2 linked regions of the Sus scrofa genome follow. The protein of the gene in region 1 purifies or fractionates together with the protein of each later gene. This does not show direct contact. Links are inferred from orthologs where the notes say so. Each region holds a gene or a part of one and is shown on either strand. Other genes may lie near its edges. The genes, in order: ANAPC13 and ANAPC7.

Evidence for each region.
Region 2: the proteins of ANAPC13 (region 1) and ANAPC7 purify together in Homo sapiens (affinity purification with mass spectrometry; 3 studies listed by BioGRID and IntAct, counting the BioPlex papers as one, with this or other methods). This does not show direct contact. The link is inferred for Sus scrofa from reciprocal best matches to the Homo sapiens genes ANAPC13 and ANAPC7.

The regions. Positions count from the first base shown.
Region 1 is NC_010455.5:75,602,007-75,606,489, reverse strand, and holds the start of ANAPC13 (anaphase-promoting complex subunit 13), read left to right. Parts: upstream 1-1,474; 5' UTR 1,475-1,498; exon of another isoform or gene 1,499-1,549; intron 1,550-1,871; exon of another isoform or gene 1,872-1,923; intron 1,924-2,202; 5' UTR 2,203-2,229; coding exon 2,230-2,328; intron 2,329-4,483. Other genes in the region: CEP63 (centrosomal protein of 63 kDa), read right to left, coding at 343-377. UniProt on the Homo sapiens protein: Component of the anaphase promoting complex/cyclosome (APC/C), a cell cycle-regulated E3 ubiquitin ligase that controls progression through mitosis and the G1 phase of the cell cycle.
Region 2 is NC_010456.5:31,779,448-31,783,259, reverse strand, and holds part of ANAPC7 (anaphase-promoting complex subunit 7), read left to right. Parts: intron 1-2,442; coding exon 2,443-2,562; intron 2,563-3,812. UniProt on the Homo sapiens protein: Component of the anaphase promoting complex/cyclosome (APC/C), a cell cycle-regulated E3 ubiquitin ligase that controls progression through mitosis and the G1 phase of the cell cycle.

The sequences.
Region 1 (4,483 bases):
CCCTGATTTGTATGGATCCCTAAGTCCAGGGTTCCCCAATTGAGTCCTTCATGTTTTCTGCCACATTTCTGTACCTCCAATACGTTTTTAACCAACTCACTTTTTAAAACTTGCTAAACTTCCCACCCGTGAATGAACCGCTATCACCTGCCATCAATGACCTAAGTCGCAACAATGCTAAGAAGCTAACCAGATGAGGCAGCCCAGGCGAGAGGGCCTTGCCGAGGATCCCTCCCCTGAAGTGGAAGAGTGGCCCGCGGCTAACTCCGCTCCGGGAAGACGAGCAGCTCGCCCACCCCGCCGCCCTCCCGCCGGCCCGGTCTCTAGGTAAGAGCTGACCACCTGGCTGGCCGGGACCGCACGCCGAGGGAGGCCATATCCGGCTTCGCGGGTCAGCCGGGCGTCAGCGAAAAGGCCGGGGGGCGGGGCGCCGGGGCGGAGCCGGGCCGGCGGGGGCGGGCCTGGAGGCCAGCGGGCGGCTGAGGAAGCAGGCCCCAGGCCATTCGGCCGCTCGGCCCGCGGCCCCACCGCAGCCAGGGCTACCTCCAGGCCCAGAGACGGCCGCCCCTCGCCCGTCCGACGTTCGCAATGCGGTTAAGGGCTGCCGCGAGCGCTCCCCGAGCCTTCCCGCCGTTACCTACGGCTGGGGGTGCGCACGCGCGGCACCGCCAACCTGACGTCCAGCCACAGCAGTCAGCACGTTCGTTTTGCCCACTGCTCCTTCACTTTTAATTAAAACAATGTCCTCCCTAACTCCCCCTGTGCTCCGGCAAATGGGCTCACCCACATCCGGGGATCGGAAAGTGAAGGACGTCTGGGTCACGTGATGCTGAGGGCGCGGTCGGCGGGGGTGTGTGACACGCTGGGTTTGGGGCTGGTAAAAGGGTTTGCGCGCACGTAATGTAGGGTCTGGAGATACGGGAGCGCGTTCGGACTCCTGCCGTTTCTCTTGGCTTAGGTCGTTGTTTTCACATCATCCTCTCCCTCCTAACCACTTCTCTTACCACACGTTGGGCGGGGAGGAGGGGAACTTGCTTGGCTGTCCGGACCCCCCCCCCTCGCTTCCGCATTTGGTATATCCCGCCTCGGGCCGGAAGCCGTGGCTGTGGGGCGGCCTCCCAGGCCTGTATGGACGGTGGTGGCCCGAGAGGGTCATTTCTAGCGAGGGAAAAGGCGTCCCAGTTTTGCTCATGTAACTGCATGTTTCACAGAGCTCTAAAGCAGAGATGAATAAAACTGCCCTCCCCCCGGGAAACGCAGGCGTCTCGTGTCTGGAAAGACCGTGTGACAGGCAATATACCAAGATCCTGATGGGGATCATTCTCTGTGCCCAGAGAACTATGGGACCCGCGGAGGGGCGGGGACTGCGCTCTTCTGGCTCTTAGAGAACGACTCCTGCAGAAGACGACCTGGGAGCTAAATTTTTTGGACAGTTTGGGGTTAGCTGGGGAAAAAAGGAAGAAGACAGAGCATTCCAGGCATTGGGACAGTCGTATGTGTAAGAAAACTTTGTTCAGGAAAGTGGTAATGCTTCATTCTGTTGAGTGAGGCAAGTGTTTGAGACGTAGTCATTTCCTGGTCATTGCCCCTCTTTGCCCGTCTTGTGCTTTCCTTTTTTCCAGCCCCTGAAGAGAGAAGGCACCTTAGCGCCTAACTCTGGAAATGGCATGTTGGTTCTGATGAGCTGACGCCAGCTTTGAGTTTGGAAGGAAAAATGGGTGTGTTAGTGATGGGGTAAAGAACTTTGAGTGCAAAGGCTGGAAAGGATAACAGAGTTAGAGGTGTTCGGAAGAGGGACAGGTGAAAAAAGATTGAGGCCAAATTGAGGAAAGATGTGCTGAGTCACTGACAAAAAATTTTACTACACACAGCAATTGGAAGCAGTAATACCTGAGCAGTTGGTCACAAAGTCGACCTGACTTGGTTAGTAGATCATAAGGACAAAAGGTAGATCAAGGGCAGGATGTGGGCTGAAGCTGGAGTGATCTGAGAAACCCTTACAGAAAGGTGGGATCTGTGTGTGACTGGGAAAATCAGCTGGAAGGGACTGTGATCTTGTAAATAACCTGACCCGGATGAGATGAGTCTTTCCCAAAGTGATATCATGCCAAAAGACACATCCAGGCTAAAAAGCTTGGAGAACCCCTAGTGCTAGATTACATCATCTCCTCATGCTTAAGAAATAACCTCTTTGGCTTTCAGATCTGGCAAGAGCAAAGCTGCAGGAAAATGGACAGTGAGGTACAGAGAGATGGAAGGATCTTGGATTTGATTGACGATGCTTGGCGAGAGGACAAGCTGCCTTATGAAGATGTTGCAATACCACTGGTAGGCCCCTGCTTATTCTGAGGTGATGGGTTAAAGGTCTGATATAGTAGAAGTAGGATATCAATGGGCACATAAACTAGTAAAGCAAAGAAATCAGTGCTGTAGAGTCCTCTAACTCTAGAATCCTCTGAAGAACAATTATCTTGTTTTTTTTTTATTTGAAGAGAAATGTGTTTCAGAGAACTGATGTGACCAGCTCAGTTAGGGGTCATGCCAGAACTAGAGCCCAGGTCTTCTGAGCCATGTTCTGTCTGCCACACCACAGGTGGGTTTATCAGTTGACATTTTTAGACACTCACATTTTTGAAACACACACCTATCCTAGGTTCCCTGGAAAATACTCAGAAGACACCTGGCTTTTCTTTTTTTTGCATTTAGACCATCGAGCTCTCTTGTTTCCTGATCTTTGGAAAATTCTGCAAGGAGTTTGTTAAATCTCGTGTTATAAGTTATCTAAACTTTTTTTTTTTTTTTGAATGAGGGCTTATTAAAATTTGTATTTATGTTACCAAGGCCTAACAAGGAGAACAGGGAGTTTTCCTTTAGAGCCTACCAACTTTCCTAGGAAGAGCTGGTAATAGAAGACAGCTTGCAGGCGGACTGCTGCTGCCATTGACATTTCATTTAAGAATAAGTGATAACAGAGTTCCCTGGTGGCCTAGCAGGTGAAGGATCCATCATTGCTGTGGCTCTGGTCATTACTATGGCATGAGTTCAGTCCCTAGTCCAGGAACTTATGCATGCTTAAGGCATGGCAAAAGGGGGGGGCGGGTAATATGTTCAATGAATAATACACATAACACATAACTTAGTTCAAGTTTAGAAAAATAGTCAAAAGCGCATACAAGAACTATAGCTCCACTTATCAAATACCTGTTTTGTGCCATGGACCAAGATCGAAGTCTGACGTATATTATCCCTGATGCTTAAACTTCGGGGTGGTGGTGTTACCCTCAATGTACAGGAAGGATATAGGATCAAAGAGAGGAATTTGCCCAAAGGCTGGTAGCTGATAGGTTGGACTTGACATCTAAGTCTCTGAGACTCCAGATCCTGTTCTGTGGACTTTTTTGGTATCTTCATTCCACAAGCAACTCTTTGAAGCCTACTGTGTGCCGTAAGACTGGGTAAACATAAGTATAGTTTCTGCCCCTCAGGGCCTAGAGATGCAACATAATAAGTAATTTTAATAGTAGGTGCTCTTAGTGGGGGGTGATAAACAGCTACAGCCAGGCAGTAGACATCAGGAAGGGCCTCAGCGAAAAAAAATCACATTTAAGCTGGTCACGAGGAAGGACCAGAGGTTTAGTGGGTAAACAAGGGCCCTCCAGTAAAGGGGACAAATGTGCAAAGGCTTAGAGTTTTGAAAGGCTTTGGGAGATGGTGAAACCTCCGTGTGGATGGAGGGTATACTCGTCATCAAATGTGGTAAGAAAAGTTGGTGTTGGACCCAATTCTGAGAGGAGCATTGGATGCCATGCTTAGCCCTCATCTTAAGGATATGCAGGAGTGAGTGGTCTTCAAAGTGGAAATCTGCCTTCTCACTCACATAGATTAGAAGATCAGCTTAGCATTGTTAAAGAATGTCTGTTGTGGAGAAAGGGTTCAGTGACAGGGCAGAGACCAGTTCGGATGCTATTATAACGTCTAGACAAGGAAGAAAGGGCCTAAACAAAAGCAGGAAAGTGGAGGGAGTTGCTGAATTCTGGACATGCTAACAGCAGAATTTCAGGACCATTTATGTAGAAAGGGTTGAGGGAGAAGGAAATTTCAATGCCGACTTCCAGGTTGTAGCCGGGCCGTATTGCTAATCCATGTCTTTTCCCAGGGCCTGCAGTTCTAAGGCAATGTTTGTGTTAGTTAGCTTTTGCTGCTGCCTAACAAATAACCCCAAAACATAGTGCCTTAAAACAACTGCTGTTTATGTCCTGATTGTGACACTCAGCTGAGAGAGTCTCCTGATATTTGCCAGCTTGGTTGATCCCTGCTGGACTTGGTGGTGTTTTGTAGTCGGCTGGCGGGTTGGCTGGAGGCTGTGTCACTCAGGACACTTTGACATGTCTGGCAGTTAGCAGGCTGTCAGCTGGGATGATGAGTTGACGAAGCCGTTACCCAGGAGACTGGTCCAGCCTTCACATAGTCATCTTAGGTTCTA
Region 2 (3,812 bases), on another chromosome or scaffold:
ACAGCTCAAAATCTAAAGTTTTTTATAATTTTACGGCAAGTACACTTTTTTTTTTTTTTTAAATCTTTTTAGGGCCCCAGCAGTGGTATATGGATATTCCCAGGCTAGGGATCAAATTGGAGATGTAGATGCCAGCCTACATCACAGCCATAGCAACTTGAGATCCATGCCATATCTGTGACCTATGCCACAGCTCACGGCAACACCGGATCCTTAGCCCACTGAACAAGGCTGGGGATTGAATCTGCATCCTCATGGATGCTAGTCGGGTTTGTTAACCACTGAGCCACGATGGGAACTCCAATACTCTTTTTGTTTAAAGGGGATAGATTATAGGTACGTCCTGGTATATGCCTAAAATCTGTATGGGTAATAGACATGAAAAATTTTGTGTGTGTGTATGAAGGAAATAAATTAAATAGAATCTTTAGGGAGAGGGAAATTTTTACTTTTCTATTTGAACCTGTCTTTAAATTATACATGCAACTTGGAGTTCCTGTCATAGTTCAGCGGAAAAGAATCTGACTAGGAACCGTAAGGTTGCAGGTTTGATCCCTGACCTCACTCAGTGAGTTAAGAATCTGGTGTTGCCGTGAGCTGTGCTGTAGGTCACAGACGAGGCTCAGATCCCGTGTTGCTGTGGCTGTGGTGTAGGCTGTGGTACAGGCCAGCAGCAACAGCTCCAATTCGACCCCTAACCTGGGAACCTTCATATGCCGCAGGTGTGGCCCTAAAAAGACAAAAGACCAAAAAAAAAAAAAAATTATACGTGCAACTTATATTTAAGAGGAATGTCAGTAGAATGAACTGAGAGTGAAATTATAAGTCATGTTCTATATTTTTTCACATTAAAAAAGATAAAAATTAATGGTTTTTTTTTTTTTTTTTTTTTTTTTTTTCCCCTTTTTAGGCCTGCATCTGGTATGTGGAAGTTCCCAGGCTAGGGTTGAATTGGCGCTTCAGCCGCAACCTACACACAGCAGCTTGCGGCAATACCAGATCCTTAACCCACTGAGTGAGGCCGGAGATCCTGCATCCTCATGGATACTAGTTGAGTTCTTAACCCAGTGAGCCGCAATAGGAACTCGGGTTTTTTTTGTTTGTTTTTGTTTTTTTGTCTTTTTTAAGCCCTTAGATCTTTATCTTGTTTTATTTCTCTTTAAGTAGAACCTTCATTTTTGTTATTGAAGAGCCATTTGCCAGTTTGTCTGTCGTGGTTCTTTTTAGGGCCACACCTATGGCATATGAGATTCCCAGGCTAGGGATCGAATTGGAACTGTAGCCACTGGCCTACACCACAGCCTCAGTAACACCAGATCCTAGCCACGTCAGCGACCTATAGCACAGCTCACAGCAATGCCAGATCGTTAACCGACTGATTGAGGCTGGGGATCGAACTTGTGTCCCCATGTATGCTAGTCAAAGATTTGTTTCCACTGAGCCAGGACAGGAACTCCTCTGTTTTCTTTTTTTCGGCTTTTCTAGGGCTGCGCCCACGGCATATGGAGGTACCCAGACTAGGGGCCTAATGGCAGCTGTAGCTGCCAGCCCACGCCACAGCCTCAGCAACTTGGGATCCAAGCAGCGTCTGCGACCTACACCACAGATCACAGCAATGCCAGATCTTTAACCCACTGAGTGAGGCCAGGGATCGAATCCGAAACCTCATGGTTCCTAGTCGGATTCGTTAACCACTGCTCCACGATGGGAACTCCAGGAGCTCCTCTGTTTTCTGACATTGAATGGAAGTCATGTGTATTATCCACATAGGATTAATCTTAGAAGTAGTTAAATGCTTGAGCATTCAGTACCCCAAGCACCATGCTAAACCTGTCTTGTAAATTAAATATATTCTTCAAGGAATTTTTTAAAAAATTGAGATGCAGTTCACAACATAAAATTTACAATTCAGTGAATTTTAGTATATTCACAAAATTGTACAACCATTACCACTGTTTTAATTCCAGAACTTTGTTATTACTCTTTAAAAACCTTGTGCTCATTATCTTCCCAGGCCCTGGGAATCACTGACCTTTCTGCCTCTGTAGATTTATCTATCCTGGACACTTCATATGAATGGAATTTTACAGTATGTGGCCTTTTGTGGCCAATTTCTTTTATTTAGCATATTTTCAAGGTTGATCCATGTTACAGCACAGAATAAAGAACCAGTTCTTTATTCCTTTTTATTGCAAAGTAATATTCCATTGTATGGATAGGCCATATTTTAACAATTAATGGGCATTTGGGTTGTTTCCACTCTTTGTCAGTTAATGCTGCTGTGAACATTAGTGTGCAGGTTTTTTGTGGACATATATTTTCTGGTCTCTTGGCTATATACATGGAAGCAGAGTTGCTGGGTCCTGTGGTAACTGTTTAACGTTTGAAGAATTGCCATGCTGTTGAAGTGATATTTTGAAGAAATGTTTCATTTCCTCTTAGTGTCTTCCATCTGAAATTGAGGTAAAATACAAAATGGCTGAATGTTATACAATGCTAAAACAAGATAAAGATGCCATTGCAATACTTGATGGGATCCCTTCAAGACAGAGAACTCCAAAAGTAAGTTGAATTAACAGTTTGTTACACATTTTTCTCTTCTCTGGAGTTCTTCCAGCCCTCTTCCTCCATGTTTTCTCTGTGCATTAAGAAGTCCATCTGAACATTTTTATCCTCATTTCTAGTTCTCACTTGGTTATTCTGTTCTCCCTGTTCAGAGAGATAGAAGAGTGACTTTCTTACAAGACCATGAAAATTCAGCTGATGGAAATGGTAGCTGGAGAATACTATAAGTGTTTATTCTTCAGTGTATCTTATTGTAGGAAATATGATTTGCAGTGTTATTTCTAGTTACCAATAATACTTTCTTAGGACCTCATTTTGTGCATTCTTTAGCTATACCCATTTGATTAATGTGTATTAATCTGTTCATTTTCAGAACTAAGACTACAAGATCCTGTTGTACTTATTTGTGTGAGGGATGGTATTGTATTTGATTTGGCAACATATTGTAGTGTATAGAATGCCTTTAACTGATCTGGTATCTTGTCTGAGTTTAGGGCATAAAAGCTGGGCAAGTTACCAGACTGGCTTTCCTTTTTTTCCCTTACTTATAAAATGAAGATACTGATACTTTCTCTGGTACAAATTAAGTTCATGTATGTGAGAATACTTTTCTTAAAGTACTGTTCTAGGAGTTCCCGTCGTGGCTCAGTGGTTGACGAATCCGACTGGGAACCATGAGGTTGCGGGTTTGATCCCTGGCCTTGCTCAGTGGGTCAAGGGTCTGGCGTCGCCATCAGCTGTGGTGTAAGTCGCAGATGCGGCTCGGATCCCTTGTTGCTGTAGCTCTGGTGTAGGCTGGTGGCTACAGCTCTGATTGGACCCCTAGTCTGGGAACCTCCATGTGCCACAGGAGCGGCCCTAGAAAAGGCAAAAAGACAAAACACAAACTTTAAAGTACTATTCTGTAAGGAGTATTATATTGGGCATCTCTTTTTTTTTTTTTTTTTTTTTTGGTCTTTTTAGGTCTGTGGCATATGGAAGTTCCCAGGCTAGAGGTCCAATTGGAGCTGTGGCTGTTGGCCTATGCCATCTGTGACCTATGCTGCAGGTTGCAGCAGTGCCGGATCCTTAACCCACTGAGCAAGGCCAGGTGTCAAACTCGCATCCTCATGGATACTAGTCAGGTTTGTTACTGCTGAGACCCCTATATTGGGCATCTTTGGTACTAGTCAGGTTTGTTACTGCTGAGACCCCTATATTGGGCATCTTTGATTACAAGGTTTTTCGAAGTCCAGTTTAGAAAAGCA